Linked DNA regions of Diceros bicornis minor. The protein of the gene in region 1 purifies or fractionates together with the protein of each later gene. This does not show direct contact. Links are inferred from orthologs where the notes say so. Each region holds a gene or a part of one and is shown in the gene's direction. Other genes may lie near its edges.

Region 1 (5,794 bases):
TAGAGAGAGAGAAGGTATTCTTTCATAAAATAAGTATACACACATATATATAGTCTACATGTATCTATAAAGACTAATAGAAACATACACGAATGTATACAGTTTATTTGTATATTCACGTGGTGTGGACACATATGTGTCTATACGCACATAGAAGCTACATATGTGTTATAGATACAGGACAGCTGCAGAGGGCAGAGACGTACAATGTATTTCTTACTAGGAAGGAAGATTAAAAAGTGAAAATCCCTGCACTCGACCACGCAATACAAGGTCACCATAGACCCGGACCACCATCCCGAAGCCCCTGCAGCTGCTCAGCCTTTTCAGGACAAATGAAATCCAGAAAAAGAATGGTTCGCGGTGTTGGGCCGGCTGGTGCAGAGACACCACGGGAAGAGGGCCTGCCCCACGGCCCTGGGCACCACAGCCCCCACCCAGCACCTCCCCTGGGACCGCAGCCCTTCTCGGCCAGGGTGGACAAGGACCCTCCTGAGGGAGGATGAAGAGCACCCCCGGCCCCAGAACACAGGGTCCCACAGAACCCCCCTGCACCCCTGCTGTGCATTCTGGGGGACCCCCGGCAGGGCTGTCAGCAGAGCGCTCTCCCACGTCCCCCTCCTCAGACAACCAGGGGCGTCAGAGCTGAGAGTGAGGGGTGCAGATCCAGGGGGGCAGAGGGCTAGAGGCCCAGGCCGGGCAGAGTAGGGTGAGGAGAGGAGGGCGGGGCCAAGGGAACGTCCAGACCACTCTCACCCCTGCCGTCAGCACTGGGAGACCCCAGGCCATGGCGTCCGGATGTGACGTCCTCTGGCGTCCGCCTCCGAGGTCTGAGGGAGCCGAGGGCCTCGTGGTGGGAGGCCGGATCCGGGGCGGCAGAGGGAAGGAGCCCAGGCCCGGCCAGGTGTCCAGGTAGCCCCGGGAGGGAGGACTCCTGGCCCCACGGCGTCCAGGTCTGCTCCTGCCATCAGCCCTGAGGGACCCTGGGGGAAGGGGAGGGGGCAGGGTGGTCAGGCAGAGTTCCCTGCCCCCACCTCGTCCTCAGAGGAGCCTGCTGGGGAGTCCTGGGTCTGCGGGGAGTGGCCTCAGGGGGCAGAGGCCGGGGCCCAGGCCCTGCTGGGAGCTCAGGAGAGGAGCAGAGGGAGGGCCGAGGAGCCCCAGGCAATCCCTGTCAGCCCCTGCCATCAGCCCTGGGCGTCCGCGTGCTTAGTGGCCTGAGGTGACCTCCACAGACTTCCCCCAGGGCTCTCAGGCCAGTGAGGGCCTCGGATCCACAGAGGGAGGATCCCAGGACCTTCCAGGGCTCAAGGGGAGGACCCTGAGGGAGGACAGAGGGGGCCCCACAGAAACACGGCCCTGCAGGCAGCCCCGGGAGGCGCCAGGGCGCCATGAGCACAGGCCGCATTTCCGACTTCCGCATCCGGGACTGAGAGAGACCGGGGACTTGGTCAAGGGAGCAGGGTCTGAGGGGGGCAGAGGGGATGGCCCAGGGCCTGCTGGAAGTCAGGGGGAGATGCTGAGGGAGGCCTGAGGGACCCTGGACCCCAGGACAAACAGGGATCCTGTGGCCCTGTGCTGGTCTGGGGAGGCCCCAGGGCAGGATGACCGGAGGAGGCATTTGCTGCCTTCTGCCTCGGGGGTTTTCAGGAGGTGAGGAATGTGGCTTCAGGTCAGCAGAGAGTGGAGTCCCTAGACCCCCAGGGAGGACTGAGTAGACCCCCAGACCAGGCATAGGCGACCCCAACAGAAATCTGACCCGTGGTCAGTCCCTGGAGGCCAGGCAGGATGTCAGGAGAGTGGCCTGTCCACTTCCTCCTCGGGGTCTCAGCGGGATGGTGGCCTTGGCCTGCAGGACGCATCCTCAGGTTAGCAGAAGGGATGGTTGTAGGCCTGGCCAGGAGTAAGTATGAATACCTTGAGGACACTGAGGGGACTCCCTCCACAGCCAGAGGAGGACCTCACTGAAATCAGCCCTGCCCCAAGTCACCCCTGCAGACCCCCGGCAGGGGTGGCCGCAGGTGGTGCATCCTCACTCACCTCTGCCTCGGGCTCTCTGAGAGGTGAGGCCTTGTTCTGAGGGACGGTGTCAGGTGAGCAGAGGCAGCCACATTTGGTCAGCAGAGGAAGGAGTCCCAGAATCTGTCAGGACTCAAGACAAGACCCTTTGGGAGGAACAGAGGGCATGGAGGTTCCCCCCACCCCAATAGAGAAGGAAACTTACAGAGGCCAGCTTCCCCTGTTCTCAGCCCCAGGGAGGCCCCGGACAAGGATGGCTGGATGTACCCTGCTCTGACTTCTGCCACGTGGTTGGGGATGGGGCATCTCAGGGAGGTGAGGCCTTGGTCTGAGCGGGGACATCAGGTCAGCAGAGGGAGGAGTCCCAGGATCTGTCAGGTGTCAAGGTGAGGACCCTTCATGAGGGCTGAAAATACCCCCTCACCTCAGAAAAGAAAGGCCGGCACAGAGTCCTGCTGTCCCCTGTTCTCAACACTGGAAGGAACAGTTGGCGGTGGTCCTCAATGGCATGCTCACTTCTACCATGGGTGGCAAGGTGGGGAGTCCTCAGGGAGGAGAGGTGTTGCTCAGAGGGAGATGTCAGCTATCCAGGTGGGGGGCCGGGAAGAAGGGCAGGCCCTGGCAGGAGAAAAGACGAATAACCTACAGGAGGTCTGAGGGAACCCCCACCCAGGACAGAAGGGCTGGTCCCCTCTGCCAGCCTTTTGTGATCCTGGTGGGGGATGTGAGGGGTGAGGGGTTGGCGTGGATGTGGTGCCTCCTCCCGTTTCTCTCAGAGCCCTCAGGCAGGTGAGGACCTTGGTCTGAGAGGACGACGTCAGGTCATCCGAGGAAGCACATCTGGTCAGCTGAGAGAAGAGTCCCAGTTCTCGCCAGGAGTCAAGGTGAGGCCCCCGAGGGAGCAGTGAGTGTACCCCAATCCCCAGGACAAAGAGGGGGCCCCTCAGAAATCTGGCCTGCCCCTAATGTCAGCCCTGGAAACCCCCCAGCAGCGCCTGTCTGCCTGAGCCTGTCCTCATTTCCAGATCCGTGGTCTCAGGAAAGGGAGGGCCTTGGTCTGAGGCTCTGGAATCGGGTCAGCTGAGGCAGGATCCCAGGCCCTGGCAGGGGTCACGGTGAGGACTGAGGGGACCCCCACCCACACAGTCAGCAGGATGCATGGAGCCCAGGCCTCCTCTACCCTTCTGTCTGCCATGGGGAGACCCGGGATCAGGGGGTGGATTGATTCCCCCTCACTTCCTCTTCCTGTGTCTTCAGGAGATGAGGCCTTTGCCTAAGGAGGGCGGCCTCAGGTCAACAGAGGGAATTGTCCCAGGCCCTGAGGGTGTCAAGGTGAAGATTGAGCAGACCACCCATCCCAGGACACATGGAACCCACAGAGTTTGGCCACCCCTTATTGTCCCTTGGTGCTTCCTGTTAGCCCCTGGGCAGGTGTGGCCTGATGTGGGGCCCCTCACTTCCTTCTGTTCAGTCTCAGGGGTGTGTGGTGGTGTTCTGAGAGTTTTGCCTCAGGGCAGCAGAGGGGTGGGGCCCAGGGGCTGCCAGGGGAATGGTGAGGACCCTGCATGAGCACGGAGTGGACCACCCACTCTAGAACAGTGGGGACCTCACAGAGTCCAGCCCGCCACTCCTGTCAGCACTGGGGGCCCAGGGCTCTGCTTGCAGTCTGCACCCTCAGGTGCCCCCTCGTTTCCTCTTACAGGGGCTCCAGGAACCCGCAGGTGAAGCCCTTGGTCTGAGGCTCGTGACCTCAGGTCGCAGAGCAGAGGAGGCCCAGGCAGCGCCAGGAGTCAAGGTGAGGTACACACCCTGAACGTGGTCCCAGGGGCTACCCCATGCCAGAACCATGGAGACCTCGCAGCGCCCGAGTCCACCCCACCCCACCGTCGTCCCCAGAACCTCGGGCTGTGCTGGGTGCACCCTGAGGAGCCGTCTCACTTCCTCCTTCAGGTTCTTAGGGCACAGGCCGCCCAGGAGGACAGAGCCCTGCGAAGCCGAGAGCACCCCTAAAGAGGGGGCCTGTAAGTCGCCTTTGTCAGAGCCGCCAAAGGGTGCATCTCTCAGCCGAGGCTGCTCACTCTCCCTGTCTCCCCCAGGCCCGTCCGTCCCCATCGGTCAACTGCCCACGCTCCTGCCGGCTGCCCTGTCACGAGTCATCATGCCTCGTGCTCCAAAGCGACGGCGCTTCATGCTTGAGGAAGGCCTTCAGTCCCAAAGTGAGACACAGAACCTCGTGGGTGCACTGGTGCCTGTGGTTGTGGAAGAAGATGCTTCTTCATCCTCCTCCACCTGCTCCTCCTCTTTTCCTTCCTCTTTCCCCTCCTCCTCTTCCTCTTGCAATCCTCTGATCTCAAGCACTCCGGAGGAGGTTTATGATGTTGCCCGGACCCCGAGTCCTCCCCAGAGCCCTCAGAGTGCCTGCCTCTCCCCCGCTGCCATGGCCTCCACTCCACTGAGCCAGTCTGAAAGCGATGGCTCCAGCAGCCAAGAAGAGGAGGGTCCGAGCACCTCACAGGCCCTGCCAGAAACTGAGTCCTTTCCCAGAAACTTGCTTGATGACAAGGTGGCTGATCTGGTGGAGTTCCTGCTTCTCAAGTATCGCACAAAGGAGCCGACCACAAAGGCGGAAATGCTGAATCTGGTCATCAGAGAATACCAGGACCACTTCCCTGTGATCTTCAGCCAAGCCTCTGAGTGCATGCAGCTGGTCTTTGGCGTTGACGTGAAGGAAGTGGACCCCAGCGACCACTCCTATGTCCTGGTCACCACCCTGGGCCTCACCTACGATGGCATGCTGAGCGGTGAGCAGAGCATGCCCAAGACTGGCATTCTGATACTTATCCTGAGCATAATCTTCGTGGAGGGTGACTGCGCCCCTGAGGAGGACGTCTGGGAAGCGCTGAGTGTCATGGGGGTGTATGCCGGGATGGAGCACTTCATCTATGGGGAGCCCAGGGAGCTCCTCACCAAAGTTTGGGTGCAAGAACAGTACCTGGAGTACCGGCAGGTGCCCAACAGCGATCCTCCATGCTACGAGTTCCTGTGGGGTCCCAGGGCCCACGCTGAAACCAGCAAGATGAGTCTCCTGGAGTTTTTGGCCGGTGTCACTGGGAGTGACCCCAGATCCTTCCCAGTGTGGTACGAGGAAGCTTTGAGAGATCAGGAAGAGAGAGCCCAGGCCAGAATTGCCAGCACGGATAGTGCTACTGCCACAGCCAGTGCCAGTTGTAGTACCGTGCCCAGTAGCTTCTCTTTCCATGAGTGAGGTCTAAGGCATAGTCTTCCCTTTGTGTTTTAAGAGGACAGTCAATGATCTAAGCACTGGAGGGCCAGGCTGGGGCTGAGGGCATCATAGAGCGTAACATCTTTGTGTTCCTGTTCCATAGGGGGGACTTTGAAATGTATCTTTTTCTATTTTTTGTATTTTAAATTGTTGTTACTTTTAGTATAAAGTTTATTAGCTTCCGAATCTAAGTTTGTGAATGACGTTGGTCACACATTTATTGCTGTTTATTCAGTTTAAAAGAAAGTTTTGCTATTTTGTAAAAAAGAAAGGAGGAGGGGAACCTTCCATTTTATTTAGTCTGAAACAAGACAACTTGGCATTGGAATAGGAATTTCCTTGGAAATGCGAAAGAACTTAGCAGTAAAATAGAGAAGAAATTTAAACGGCAATTTTTGAATTCTATTATCATTTTTAGTCTATCATTCTGTAAAATGAAAAGGTAGATACCTTGATTTTCTCAGCTTATTCAAGAATGTAGAAGAAATTAAATGA
Region 2 (7,502 bases), on another chromosome or scaffold:
GAAATTTTCATGGCAATAGGTAAGGTGCCTCTCCTCCCCTCCCCCCACCAGGGGCATACTGCTTATCTGATGTTCTTTTTTTTTGTGTGAGGAAGATCAGCTCTGAGCTAACATCCATGCTAATCCTCCTCTTTTTTTTGCTGAGGAAGACCGGCTCTGAGCTAACATGTATTGCCAATCCTCCTCCTTTTTTTTCCCCGAAGCCCCGGTAGATAGTTGTATGTCATAGTTGCACATCCTTCTAGTTGCTGTATGTGGGATGTGGCCTCAGCATGGCCGGAGAAGCAGTGCGTCGGTGCGCGCTCGGGATTGGAACCCGGGCCGCCAGTAGCGGAGTGTGCGCACTTAACCGCTAAGCCACGGGGCCGGCCCTTATCTGCTGTTCTGTAGGAGGTCTATGGGGTCCCTTCACCAACAGATCTTTCACCATTTTAATATTCTGGTAAAATTGTTTTCTTCTTTATCTGACTTCCAGATGCAGATAATTCCCCCAGATGTTTCTAAAGCCTGAGCCAAAGTCTCAACATGTCACTTCCTGACCCTTTAGCTTACCACCCACCGAAAGCCCCACATCACCCTCCCCCTGCCCACTTCTTAGGATTCTTTTAGCTCATTTGGCTCGGGACTCTTCTTGCTTGGGTTCCATCCTCGCTCTACCACTTACTAACTCTGCTCCTGGAGAAGTTATTTAACCTCTCTTTGTCTCAGTCTCCCAAAACACTCAGAATGCACCTGGCACCTAGAAGCGAAGCCCTCAGTATGTTAGTCATCACTGGTTGGGTGGTAAAGGCCAGATTCTCCTCGTGTGGACTTGGGAGAGAGTATCTGGGTACCCCCACAAATGCATTTTTCCCTCCTCTCCCAAACAGCTAAGAAGCTCCCCAAGAATGAGCCCCAAAATGCAGCTGGTGCTCCAGGCCGGAACCGAGGAGTGGACCTCCAGGAGAACAACCCAGCCAGCCGGAGCCAGTGCTGCAGCAACTGAGCCCCCCTTGCCTGCCCATTGCCCCCACCTCCTCCGCCTCAACGACCCGACTGGAACCAATCTAACCAATCGCACTTAACGACTCGGGCCACCACTGGGGGGGCAGGGGGAGGGGTCCACCATGATTTCTCCGTATAATTTTGATCATAGGCCGGAGTGAGTTATTCCACCTGCACCTTTCTGTACAAATACTAATTCAATTTTAAGTCTTAAGTCACTTTTTTAATATATATGATCTTCTGCTCTTCCCACTTCCTGCCCTTTCTACTGCTCTCCCACTCTTCCTTTGCTGGTAGTAGCCACGTACCCCTGTCCCCCACCCTTGTATATGGGGAGGTGGGGGCTGGAGCAGTTGCCCTTCTTTCCCTCTTGCTGATCAGCAGACTCAGCAAGAGCATCCATATCCTTACTGTGTTTGGAGTGGGCTGGTTCTGGGCGGTGGGGCAGGCGCTGAGGCTAGAGAAGGGAGAGGCAGCTCTTCCCTGAGTTGGCTGTCATCAGGCTGCGGCCCCCCCTCACCCCCTGACTCAGAGCCGGGAGAGAAACCACAGCATTACCACAGCGTTATTGTGACAGCCATGAACCCATTGCCCACAACCCCCCCCCCCCCCGTCCTTGGTCGCCCTGACCTCTGGCTCTGAGCCCTGTTCTGACAAAATCACGATGATGAGTATTTGGGGGTGGGTGGGTAAGGGGGGGAGTGGGAGGGGATGGAACCAACTTTTTCTGTATTTTGTATTGTATGTTTTCTTCAACATGTAACCAATCAGTATCTTGTCAATATAGTCAGCCGATCGATCGACCTCCCGCTTGTCTTCCTTGTCTTTCTCTGGTGGAGTTTATCAGACCATATCCTCTCTAGCTTACTTGAAGTTAATGCAGAATGAACTATTGAATCCTATTAAACAAAAGCCCCCCCCCCACCAGTGAGGGGATGCTGGTGGTCATGGTAACCAAGAGAAAGAGGCCCTTACTATTGTCAGCTGTAACTGGGTGGGAGCAGAGGTAAGAGTGACCTGGGCCTGAATCTCACCCAGTTTGAAGTTGCAAGTCTTACATTTGCCTCTCCCCAACCCCTGCAGGTTATATTGGGGTGATGTGCAGTTTATATTTGAAAATAGTTGGTCTCTGAAACACTAGAAATAAACAACATCTTTGGGGGTTTTTGGTTAGTCTGTACCATACCCATGAGGGGCTGGGTCCTCTCACCCTCCTCCCTGAAGAGGAAGGAACACCGATGGCCTCTGGAACCTTGAACTCGTCAGAAGCCCAAGACAGCACCCTCACACCAGGTCCAGTCATCTGGTCCCTGGTCTCTCAGGGCCCTCTGCTGGTTCTGGAGCCAGGTGATGCTTGGACCTTCCTGGCCCTCTGCTGCTCCCTGGTGGAGCTGCTGCTCTCAGCTGCCAAGGGCTATTTGGTCCAGGCAGTGAGCTGAGCTGAGTAGGCCAACACTGTCCCTCCCAGCTTCTCCTAGGGCCAGAGAGGCCTGATTCTTGGTGGACCACCACCTCTTGCCTTTCCTGCCTCCCTGGGCCCTCCATTTGGCCTCCCTCTACCTTTGTTATACCGCCACCTCTGACCCCACCACGGAGAAAAGACTACGGACACTAAGGCTAGGCTGCACACTACGGTTGTTTACTGGGTCAGGCTAGGTTGGAATCCTTGTTAGAGGTGCGGCTCCTGAGCCTCGGGGACGGTCCTGTTCGGGCTTCAGGGGAAGGCAGCACTGGGCGCTGGCCTCGGAAGCGCAGCTGGCCAGAGGGGGTCAGGCAGCAGGTCATGGCGGTGGGATCCAGGTCCGGTGGGAGCTGCACTTGCCGGTGCACCTGCTGCGCCATGCGGTAGCTATAGCCATCTGGGCTGCAGCCCTCCAGTTGCCGCTGGCCCGTCACCATCAAGCATCTGCCGTCCACTTGCACCACCAGCTCCTCGGGGGTGAAGCCTCTGGCATCCACCTTCATCTGGAAGCCATCCTCCACACAGACATCGTCCCGCACAGCTGCCACATCGTCCCCCAGCAGCCGCACCGGCAGCGTGGCCACTTGGTTCTGTTCGGCGAGGGCCACGCTGGGACACCGGGATGCCACCCGGCTCCCGTTGGGGAGACCGCTACCGACCCGTTGCATCCAAGTGAGCAACTGCTGTCCAAGGGCGCGAGGCCCCGAGTGTAGCGCTCGTCACTCGGGCAGGGGCGCGGACACCCGAAGAGGAGGGTCCTCACGCGGGCCCGCGCATGTCCCCTTCCGCTCCGCGCTACCCCGCGCGGCTCCGCTCTGTTCAGCCGCGCTCCCTTCGCTTCCGGCGAGGTTCGCATCTGCGGTTTGGGGTCAGCTATGCACGTCCTACCTACACGGGTCAGGTTGTCAGCCGCCCTGCCGCCCCCGTTGCTGCTTTTATCCTGGATCCTGCCCCTTTCTCGGGCCTTTCTCCACCTCCGTCAGAGGGCGCAGGCGGCCCTGGGCTGTGACCCTACTGGACCGACTAAACGAGGCTGGACGTGCGTGAGCCCGACCCTGGAGCGGTCACCAGCACAGAGCGGAGATAAGATTGAGCCTCCCGGCTCTTGCTCTGCCAAGAATCAGGCCTAGGGGCAAGAAGGATTGTCCCCTGAACAGAACCATCCGAATGTGACGGCGGAGTCATCCATTCTCGGAACGTCCTGCCTTTCTCTGACCATGCACGGTCCTGTGACACATGGGGATGGGGAAGTGAATGCATCTTCCTCGTTTCCTTCATTCATCCGACTCTGGGCCTACTGTGGCAGGCTTGGGGCTGGGCTCTGGGACCGCAGAGATGAAGACGGGCCCTGCCCTCGAGGTGCCCAGTGTGGGAGAGCCGTTCCCATACGCAGGGAAAGGCTTCTGCCCTCCTCTGTCTCTACCTCTTCCCCAACTCAGTAGCCTTCCCTCTGACCATGGCCATGCCTCTGGCACTCAGAGCTTTTACAATAAACTCTTTTTGCTGAAATGTAATGTACATACAAAAAAGCACACAGAAGGGTACAGTTGAATTATTGCAAACAGAACACCCGTGTAACTACTTCACAGGTCAAGAAAGAACTGTTGCTACTTAATCTCCACCGTAGCTGCAATTCTGTGTCTGGGGACATGTGGGACACGGCCGGGTGGGAGTGGGAGGGAGACATGACGGGAGCCAGTGCGACCTCAGTCCCCTGGCCTGTACTTCCACCCTCGGGCTTGGGAGGTGGGCAGAGCCCACGATTCTCTCAAACAGAAGCCTGTTTTCTGGGATGCTTCTCCTTGTCCCCAGGGAGACAGTAATCCGGACTCTCCCGGAAGCCTTCAAGAGAGATTAGAATTGACAAAGGGTCAAGCTGGGGTGCTGGCTCGGGACTCACTTGGTTGTCTTGGACCGAAAAACAGGACAGAAAAGTCTGGAAGCCGGAGGCGAAGAGAGCGGCGGTGGAAGACTACAACTCCCGTCATGCTCCGGAGCAGTGACGCCTGCGCACTGTGCGCCGGTTGCCCATGCGGCCCTAGGGCTGGGAGCGCCGCGCTGCGCCGCGCCGCGCTCAGCTTCGGGGGAGGCCATGGCGGAACCTTCCCAGGCCTCGACCCCGGCTCCGGCCGTGCAGCCCCGTCCCCTTCAGTCTCCAGCCCCTGCCCCAACTCCGACTCCTGCCCCCAGCCCGGCTTCGGCCCCAACTCCGGCTCCCACTCCGGCACCAGCCCCTGCCCCAGCTGCAGCCCCAGCTGGGAGCACAGGGACGGGGGGGCCCGGGGTAGGAAGTGGGGGGACCGGGAGCGGGGGTGATCCGGCTCGACCTGGCCTGAGCCAGCAGCAGCGCGCCAGCCAGAGGAAGGCGCAAGTCCGGGGGCTGCCGCGCGCCAAGAAGCTTGAGAAGCTAGGGGTCTTCTCGGCTTGCAAGGTGGGGGCGGGGCCTGGGGTGAGAGGGGGCGGGGCTTGGGGCATCCTAGGGCCCGGGTGGGAATTGGGGCAAAGCTCTGGCTAGGGAGCGGCTCCTCGTCCCGGGATACAGAGTTATTGACTGATCCTTCTGCCTCCAGGCCAATGAAACCTGCAAGTGTAATGGTTGGAAAAACCCCAAGCCCCCCACTGCACCTCGCATGGACCTGCAGCAGCCCGCTGCCAACCTGAGCGAGCTGTGCCGCAGCTGTGAGCACCCCTTGGGTAAGGCAGGTAGTGCCCTTGGAGCTGGGGAGGGTGGGCAGGTGCTGGGGCCTGCTTGGGCAGGATGACTTTAAGTGCCACAGAGCTTCTCCTCTGAAAAACCAAAGATGCTTCCTAAGCAGGGATTGGGTTGGGAGGGTGCATGCCCTATGGGAGAAGAAAGGAAATCTGCCAGCCCAGAAGACACGAGGGGCCACCCAAGGGCTGACAAAGGAGCAGTCAGTCTCGTTGCTGGTCACACTGGTTGGAGGGAGTGAAGGTGAATCTTGGCTGGTGATGAAGGGGGGCAGGAAGCCCTGTTGGTCTCTTCTGTTCGTTCTTCCCAATGCTGCGGTCTGTCCTTCTTGCAGCTGACCATGTCTCCCACCTGGAGAATGTGTCAGAGGATGAGATTAACCGGCTGCTGGGGATGGTGGTGGACGTGGAGAATCTGTTCATGTCTGTTCACAAGGAGGAGGACACGGACACTAAACAGGTCTATTTCTACCTCTTCAAGGTGAGCTTCCTCTGAGTGAGTGAGGGAAGGAGGTGAGGCTGTGGGGTCTGCGGCTCTGATCTCTGCTTACCTACGCTCCTCCCTTTTCCTCTTCCTCCAGCTCTTGCGGAAATGCATCCTGCAGATGACCCGACCCGTGGTGGAGGGGTCCTTGGGAAGCCCCCCATTTGAGAAGCCTAATATTGAGCAGGTGGGATGAGGAAGGTGGTGAGAGAATTGGGGGCATCTTGGAAGTGTGGGAAGCCCTTGTTCTCCATCCTCCTCAAGCTGAGAACAGGGGAGAGGTTCAGGGAAGGGAGGACGTTTTGTACCAACCTCAGAGTGGGCATGGGGGTGGGGAGGGGACACAGTTTCTCTTCACAGAGAGCCCCAGAGTGAGAGGAGAGCCTGGCGCCTGCCCTCAGGAAGCACCTATTTTTGGATCAGAAGTGCTGCTGGCTGTTCACCCCTCCTTCCTGGTTTTGTCCCCGCCCACCCCTTCTCAGGGTGTGCTGAACTTCGTGCAGTACAAGTTTAGTCATCTGGCTCCCCGGGAGAGGCAGACGATGTTCGAGCTCTCAAAGATGTTCCTGCTCTGCCTTAATTACTGGAAGCTCGAGACGCCTGCCCAATTTCGGCAGAGGTCTCAGGCCGAGGACGTGGCTACCTACAAGGTCAATTATACCAGGTAGGCCCAGCCAGGGACAGCATGGGGGAGGCTTGTAGGCCCAACCTGGGTTCAGTGGTTTCCACGCTCACTTACCACCCCCCCACTCCCTGCAGATGGCTCTGTTACTGCCATGTGCCCCAGAGTTGCGACAGCCTCCCCCGCTACGAGACCACTCACGTCTTTGGGCGAAGCCTTCTCCGCTCCATCTTCACTGTTACCCGGCGGCAGCTGCTGGAGAAGTTCCGGGTGGAGAAAGACAAGCTGGTGCCCGAGAAGAGGACCCTCATCCTCACCCACTTCCCCAAGTAAGGCTCATTCTGGCCTATTTGGGTTTTGCCCCAAGTTCACATCCTCCCTGTTGTCCCCTTTTTTCCAGGAAGGCTTCCTGGATTGGTCCCTCCTCTCCCTCCATGAGCCTTCTGGGATCTGGGCATCTACCTGGCAGACTTGCCCATGGCCCAGACGCACCTTGCTAGCATTTGCCTTTGCGTGTACTAGTCTGGGGATGGCAGGTACATGGCCCGAGTGCTAACACTATCCCTGCCCACACCCCAGGTAGACGTTACTAATTGTTTCCCACGGGGCCTGGACACAGCCTCAGAATCCTTCCCACCACAGCACTCCAAGAAACCAGAGCTTACACTTGAGGTGAAACCGATTTCCGCCCCTGTTCTAGTCCTTTCTGTAAGATTTTCCTCTGTTCTGCCACACTTTCCTTTCATTTTAAACCTGGCTCATAGCTGCCCAGTTCAGGAAGACTTTATTGACTAATCCAGGGCCTCCAGTGCTGCCCTAGGTAGGAATATGAGGTGGCAGGAGGGGTGGACTCTGAGCCCCATTTTGATACTGAGGCCCAGGGTGACTTGGTGCCCTGCCTGGCCACACAGCACAGGACAGCATCAGTTCAGACCCTGTGTCCCTGTGCTGTACACGTGGCACACTGGTCCTCTGATCTCTGTCCTGGATTGTCCTGTCCTCTTCGACTAGGGGCTCCCAGGAGGCGGGGGGGCCTGTGCCTCCCCCAAGTCAGAAGGCAGAGAGGCTGTCTCCGTTTTTAGGTTCCCAGTTCCCCGAGAGCAGGGTCTGTCTCTTTGACCCACCTCCAATCCCTCTGGTGTCTGGCCCAGGCTGCTCCCTTGGCTGGAGGACAGAGTTGTGAGACAGACTGTACCCTCCCCACAGGTTCCTGTCCATGCTGGAGGAGGAGATCTACGGGG
Region 3 (7,149 bases), on another chromosome or scaffold:
TCTTTGCTTTTTCTGGAATATACCAAACCTTTTCCCATCTCTTGGCTATTTATTGACCTTAATGTTCCCTCATCTTGGAAAGTCTTTCCTCAGCTTGGTGAGTACATTACCATCTTCAGGTCTAAGCCCAAATATCCCCTCCTCAGAGACAGTGTCCCTGACTACCCCACGTAAATCAACCTCCCCCAGTTATTCCTTCTCATCAGATTATTTGCAGTCCTTATCCCAATCTGTAATAGGTTTATCATTTTGCTTATTGCTTATCTCCCCTGCTAAAAGGTCTGTGAAGGCAGGGATAGTATCTGTCTTGTTCTCTGCTATAACCCTGGTGTCTGGCATAAAGTAAGTGTTCGACAGACATGTGAATGAATACATTAAAAGAATTTAAAAAAGCAAAGCACTTAGGCTGCTCACTAATAGTATGATCAGCAGTATACCCAATTCACCACAGCAGGACTAAGCCTGAAAGGCACAGAAGGGAAGGGTGGTGAGGGAGGAGTCTATTCACTTTTAATTCTTACATCAAAGACCAAGAAAGGATACTGACACATACATCATCACGAGTGGATGTCACCAAATGATACCCAGCCTCATGCTGTTCACCATGAAAACAGGGGACCAGACTGTAATAATTGATTTTTAGCTTCTGTGCTGAGCAGCCAGCACTCTCTGCGTCCCCAGACCCTTATTTTTCCTGAAGGAGGAGGAAGGCTCTGCTCAGAACTCACCAGCCATCACGGGGTAGTTGAAGTGTTCTGCTGCAGGATCTAGGTTCACAACCTGGACAGACCGATTGAGGGCTTCACAGTGCTGGACCATGGTGGCACAGTAGGTGCTCTGCAATGTCACAAGGCATGAGGAGTCAGAGCAACAGGCAGTGCAGTGCTACTGCCTGCACCCCCAGAAGGACTCTCTACACCCCCTGGGCAGTGTCTACTAAGGCCAAAATTATGTGTTCATCGACTAAAAAGCTGTCTGAAAAGGGCAAAGGCATTGCGCTGGGAATCAGGACACCTGACTGGGCTGCAGAACTGGCTTGGACTCAAGGGTAATTTGGGAGAAGCTGCTTCTCCACTCTGCCCCTCGATTTTCTCATCTCTAACTAGGATGACCTCCATGATCACTAAGACTCCTTCCTGCTCTAACGTGCAATGAGCGGAATTTAAAGGGAGCATTTCTGGTTACACAGTGCAGCAACTAACACATAGTGTCTCCACTAGGACGTGAACAGTCCAAACAAGGCTTTAGGTAGGGTGGTCAGAGACGATTTCTCTGAGGAGACGATATTTGAGCCAAGGGATGGGAATGCGCTTGCCAAACCAGGGGAAGAGCATTCCATGATGAGAGAACATTGACGTCAATAAATAGCATGGAGGTGGGCTATCAATTTGTAACTTTTGGTTTACAGAATTCTTTATCCCTCATGTAGTCATTACCACACTACGTTAAAAATCTCTAGGCTACTTGTCTGTCTCTCCCAACCTCTACTTAAAGGCTGGGATGTGTCGGGCCGGCCCTGTGGCTTAGCGGTTAAGTGCTCGTGCTCCGCTGCTGGCGGCCCACGGTTCGGATCCAGGGCTCGCACCGAGGCACCGCTTCTCTGGCCATGCTGGGGCCGCGTCCCACATACAGCAACTAGAAGGATGTGCAACTATGACATACAACTATCTACTGGGGCTTTGGGGGAAAAAATAAATAAAAATTAAAAAAAAAAAAAAATAAAGGCTGGGATGTGTCTTACGCAGTTTTATAAGTCCAGGGACTAACTAGCACAGTACCTGATACATAATAAATGCTTGATAATGATTTATAATCGACTGACTTAATATGATTTATAATCGACTGACTTAATGTTTGAATATAAACTCCATAAGGGCAGAGATTTGCGTGTGTGTCTTTTATTCAATAACACAATCCCCAACGGCCTAGAACAGTGCTTGGCACAAAGAACATGCTCAATGAGTATTTCTGATCATAAGCACCAAAAATTTATAGAAAGATACTTACCTAACACAATCAGTCCAAAAAGCAGTCCAGAATATAGAAATAACCTCTATCACACTTTCTCCTCAGTGACTTTACACATACTGTTCTCTCTGCCTAGGAGGCCCTCTCCATGCATCACACTGTATGTTAACTGACAAGTCATTTATCTGTATTTCCAGATAGACTATAGGTCTGGGTAGGCAAGAGCCATATCATAGTCACATGTATAACTCCTACACCCAGACTGAGGACAAACCTCAGAACGATGTGTTAATTTAAAGATTTAAGCCACACAACACCTCCACAGACTCGGGTGTTTCCCACACTCCTGTTATTTGACTAATACGTTCACCATTTCTACCATATTTGAATGTCCCTAATATTATTCCCTTAATACTTGTTTACAAGAAAAAACTGTATGTCTATCATAAACAGAAAACCAGTTATATTTATCATAACATGAAGGTAACCATAAAATTAAATACAACTTTATAACTCTTTTCATTCAAGCTAAATACAATTGCCTGTCAAAAGCTGAGTCTAAGATCTGCTCTCTGAAAACACTTGGGGATTAAAGAAGTGTTAAAGATACACCAACATAAGGGAGAGCCCCGTGGCTTAGTGGTTAAGTGCGCGCGCTCCGCTGCTGGCGGCCCGGGGTTCGCGCACCGACGCACCGCTTCTCCGGCCATGCTGAGGCGGGGTCCCACATACAGCAACTAGAAGGATGTGCAGCTATGACATACAACTATCTACTGGGGCTTTGGGGGGGTAAAAATAAATAAATAAAATCTTAAAACAAAAAAAGATACACTAACATCAAACTGACAATTTCACCTCAATGCAAACTGAAAGAAAATTAAAAAGGGAGCAACTTTCTCAATGTATGATTCAATGCTCATTAATGTCAGGCCCATGTACCTCCTAAAATCGCCTCAAATACCAGAAGTCCATGTCTCAAGCTCTGAGAAACAGTGATTAACGAGATGCCACTTGAACCTCTTGGGAGGGAGACAGGGCCAGATTCTGGAGATAGATAAAACCAGATTCAAATTCCAGCCGTCCCTTACTAGTTGTGTGATCTTGGACAAAGAACTTAACTTTTCTATGTCTCATTTTCCTTATCTGTAAAATGGGAATAAGACTTATCTCACTGAGTTGTTGTGGAAATAAATGAGACGTTTACCGCACTATCTGGGGCATAAGTATACAATATTAGCAACTATCATTAGTCTCTTTTCAAAACAACAACAACAAGGACACTGAAGCCCAGGCTGCAGAGGCGGCCTGCTCAGGGTCTCAGGGTCCCCAATACACACACCCGCCGGTCCCTCCCTCAGGACCCGAACCTCCTTGCCTCCCGCGAACTCCGACTTTTCTCTCCTTCTCCCGCCAAATCCTCACCTTCCCGCTGCCCGCGGGACCCATGACCAGCTGCGCATATCGAGGCATGCCGGCTTCCGGGGTTCCCGGCGCCTCCCGTCCCACAGCACCAACAGTCTGACCACCACGCTCCCTCCAGCCTTCGCGCGGCGCCCACTGAGTTCCGGGAACACGACGTGCGAACCAATCGCAATCCAAGCTCCTTTTGCGTCTTCTGTTCCGCCACACCTCTGATTACGGCGCGTCCCGAAGGCCAAATTCCATGTGAAACGCGCCGTCCGGCAGAGGGGGGAGTGTTTGCGCGTGCGCAGAAGTAGCTGGCGGAAATCTGCGGTTGGGATACAGGCGGAGCCGGGTTGCCTTGGTGATAACGGATAACCGACAACAATTAGCATCCCTGCGCCGGGTGCTTTCGACCTTGGTTTGCGTACTGACGTTTGACCTGTATGATGGAACTCGAGGTTTGCAAATTTGCTGAGGGTCTGGAATACTGAGGTGGAAGTCACTTCTTGTTTTAGAGGGCATGTATATTTCCTTCTCGTGACACGTCCCTTCCACAAAAAGATGCAAACGTGCAAACGCGCAATCAACTAAAGAACCCCCGCCCCTCCCCCAATTTAACTCCAAGATCGTGGATCTGCCCTCCCCGCTCTCCCGAAGCTATTCGGGCAGTGTCCGGACCGCATCGGAAGGGGCTCGAATCCGGCATCCGCCTCTCACCCCCAATATCGCCCGGCCTGACGCACGCGTGCTGACGGGGGAGGGGAAAGGGGAAAGCTGCTCCCGCACACAGCTCGCGGGCCTGGCACCCGGGAGGAGATGCCCGGCCAGGGTGCGGTGTCCGACTGGACGGAGTGCAGCTCTTCCGCAGAGCCGCCCGCAGTGGCCAGGACCGTGGGTGGCGGCGGCGGGTGAGACTGCGGGGCCAGGACTGTGGGTGGCGGCGGCGGGTGAGACTGAGGGGTTAGGGAGGACGGCGACCAGCCCAGGGTCGAGATCCCCCTGTAGAGGAGGGAGTGGGAGCTGGCTCCCCAGTGCACGGAAGTGAGAGGAGGAGAGAACCTTTTTGGTGGCTGGGATGGGAAATATGGAAGCCGACTCACTGTTTAGGGGAAGGGCTTCTGAGGGAAGCTTAGGAGGAGGGTTTGGTGCAATGACTAAATGCAGGGACTGCGACAATCGCCTGCGTACGTCTTTCTGCCTCGAGGGGGCGCTGCGAAACCTACTGGAAAAATTGCCGTCTTGCCACAGGATCTCTGCATAAAGGCGGGTAGGGGGACAACGGGGACAGATTCCTCCGGCTCAACCGAGGGCTTCCAAGTCAATAATTCAGTTCCCTGTATGTGACATTAGCCACCTTTATGTCAACGGGATTCATAATCGCCAATGAGACAAGTGATTATGAATATTAGAGGCACCTTGATCTTGACATTTTCTTCCCACAGAAATTCCTTCCTTCATAAATCCGTTTCATTTTGAGCAGGTGTCCACTATTATTTCCTGGATGCTGAAGACGATTAGTTGCTGAAGGCATTACCTCCTCATCCCTTCCATCAGTTATTCCCCAAATCTAGAGTTGCCAGGTGTTCCTCTCTAAATTCAGCCCACAGTCATGGCTCCTGCTGATATGTATCTGGCGGATTGACCTTTTAAAGATGGGATGGGGTCTTGTGTTTCTTTTCTGTTCATCACGGTGCTTGGTGAAGTGCTGGATCCCAGTATGTCGAGAGATCAATGAACTTTGGGTCATTGAATAAATTGAAAGAAGAGGGAGGGAAGGGTGTTTTGTCTTAAGTTGAGAAAAGAAAAAAAAAAACTTGTACAAAATTAGAGACATTCCAGACCAACTTATCAGTTCCAGTACACTTTAATTACATGCAATAAAGAACAAGATAGTCTTTTCCATACCCAAGTTACTTTATTAAAAATAAAGAGAGCAAAAAAAATATCATGGATAGCACAGAAGCCCAGACTACTTTATTGAGCTTAACATAGGAATTAGATTAGGAGACTATAAAAGTAAGACCAAATCTGGCTTAAAGTCAATCCTTTCTAGTAGAGTAAAAATCTCAGTTAACTCACTTTGAAAAAGCCTGGAGCCACTAGGATACAACCAGAATTAAAAGAGAAAATTTGCAAGACATTCTGTCTGATGGAAACATGAAAAGTAAAAAGGATATGAAATACTGCCTTTTTTCATTTAAAATACTTTCTTTACTGCTTATAAACTTGTCAATTATTACATATTATTTAATCCTTTTTTTAACAGATCAGCTGGACATTCTTATTACCAGAATTCCAAAGGTACTGGTGAGTAGAGCATATAAAGCAAATACCTATAAATAACATGGTGCAGAGAAGCCAATTTAGCTATGACCACTTACACAATGGAGTTTTTAAAATAGACTTTATTAGCATCCTTGGTGAACTTACTCTTTAAGATTTTCAAAGAACAATCCAGCAGGTTCTTTCTCTCCTGTTAAGATATCTCACATCAAGCATTTTAAAAAGAGTACTTCAAAATAGCAATGAATCTGAAAAGAACAGTGTTTATAACTGATGTTGGTTGAAAAGCACAGAGCACAGCCTGGGGTTTATATGCAGATTGAAGGAAAAAATCTAAACTGAACAACTTCAAAGAATATAAAATATTTCTCAGTGCTCCTATTTTCCTCTCACTTGAAATAAACGATAGAGTTGCTGGAGTTAAGAGTCAGACAGGCCCTCAAAGGCCTCTCACTAATTTTGGAGGAGAGAGAAATTTCAATTCAATGATATATAAACCTGGATTCACTTTACTTTTCCTTGGAAAATTTATAGTCCTTACAGTTACCTAGGAAAAACACACACATATGTGAGTGTATGTACATATATATAAAAATACATATATATGCATATATAAATAATGTGGTCATTTTAAAATGGAATTGCTGGATCATATGGCAATTCTGTTTAATTTTTTGAGGAACTGCCATACTGTTTCCACAGCAGCTGCACCATTTTACATTCCCATCAGTAATGCACAGGGTTCCAATTTCCCCATATCCTAGCCAACACTAGTTTTCTGTTTTTTTGATGAGAGTCATCCTTATAGGTATGAAGTGGTATCTCATTGTGATTTTGATTTGCATTTTCCTGCTGATTAGCCATAGTGAGTGTCTTTTCATGTGCTCATTGGCTGTTTGTATTTCTTTGGAGACATCCAAGTCTATTCAAGTCCTTTGCCCATTTTTCAATTGGGTTGTTTGTTGTTGAGTTTAACTATTATTTTTAAATGTTTCATTTTCTGTAAAGAAATGCTATCAAGCTTTTGTGGAATTAAATTTTAGTCTAGGCTATAATATACATCTCAGAAATACTGATTAGCAAGGACACAAAAGCTATATTCTTAGATAATTAACCCACATTTATCACTTAAAAAGGATTTTAAAAAATAAACTTTTATAATGTTGAAATGGTATTCATTATTACCGATTCCAAATTATGTTTTAAGGGTCATAATAACATAATTTCCAGATGATTTTCTATTTGTTGGCAAACTAGTCCTTCAGTACGCAAATATAACTCTTACTTATCTGCACTAACCATCCAAAATCTTGAGTATGCAAATATGTCTTACTTATCTGCACTAACCATTGCCGAAATCTCGAAGAAATCACTAAATTTAAAGTTTAATATGTAAGATTATAGTGGCCTTTGTTATCAATAATATTGAAACGAAACTGTGTTTATTTAATTGAGTTTACTAGGTACAAACTTTTAACTGAAAATCTATTCTGC

The links. Proteins that work in one complex are often made in the same cells at the same time.
Region 2: the proteins of melanoma-associated antigen 10-like (region 1) and KAT2A purify together in Homo sapiens (affinity purification with mass spectrometry; 3 studies listed by BioGRID and IntAct, counting the BioPlex papers as one, with this or other methods). This does not show direct contact. The link is inferred for Diceros bicornis minor from reciprocal best matches to the Homo sapiens genes MAGEA10 and KAT2A.
Region 3: the proteins of melanoma-associated antigen 10-like (region 1) and FAM216A purify together in Homo sapiens (affinity purification with mass spectrometry; 3 studies listed by BioGRID and IntAct, counting the BioPlex papers as one, with this or other methods). This does not show direct contact. The link is inferred for Diceros bicornis minor from reciprocal best matches to the Homo sapiens genes MAGEA10 and FAM216A.

Annotation. Positions count from the first base shown.
Region 1 is NC_080781.1:136,909,537-136,915,330, forward strand, and holds melanoma-associated antigen 10-like, read left to right. Parts: upstream 1-4,174; coding exon 4,175-5,281; 3' UTR 5,282-5,284; downstream 5,285-5,794. UniProt on the Homo sapiens protein: Not known, though may play a role in embryonal development and tumor transformation or aspects of tumor progression.
Region 2 is NC_080757.1:41,309,325-41,316,826, reverse strand, and holds the start of KAT2A (histone acetyltransferase KAT2A), read left to right. Parts: upstream 1-4,484; 5' UTR 4,485-4,538; coding exon 4,539-4,877; intron 4,878-5,016; coding exon 5,017-5,140; intron 5,141-5,490; coding exon 5,491-5,636; intron 5,637-5,736; coding exon 5,737-5,826; intron 5,827-6,121; coding exon 6,122-6,303; intron 6,304-6,398; coding exon 6,399-6,590; intron 6,591-7,467; coding exon 7,468-7,502. Other genes in the region: RAB5C (ras-related protein Rab-5C), read left to right, coding at 1-19, 870-985; HSPB9 (heat shock protein beta-9), read right to left, coding at 2,632-3,114. UniProt on the Homo sapiens protein: Protein lysine acyltransferase that can act as a acetyltransferase, glutaryltransferase, succinyltransferase or malonyltransferase, depending on the context.
Region 3 is NC_080774.1:8,983,366-8,990,514, forward strand, and holds the start of FAM216A (protein FAM216A), read left to right. Parts: upstream 1-4,131; 5' UTR 4,132-4,188; coding exon 4,189-4,280; intron 4,281-5,638; coding exon 5,639-5,679; intron 5,680-7,149. Other genes in the region: GPN3 (GPN-loop GTPase 3), read right to left, coding at 729-837, 3,391-3,438.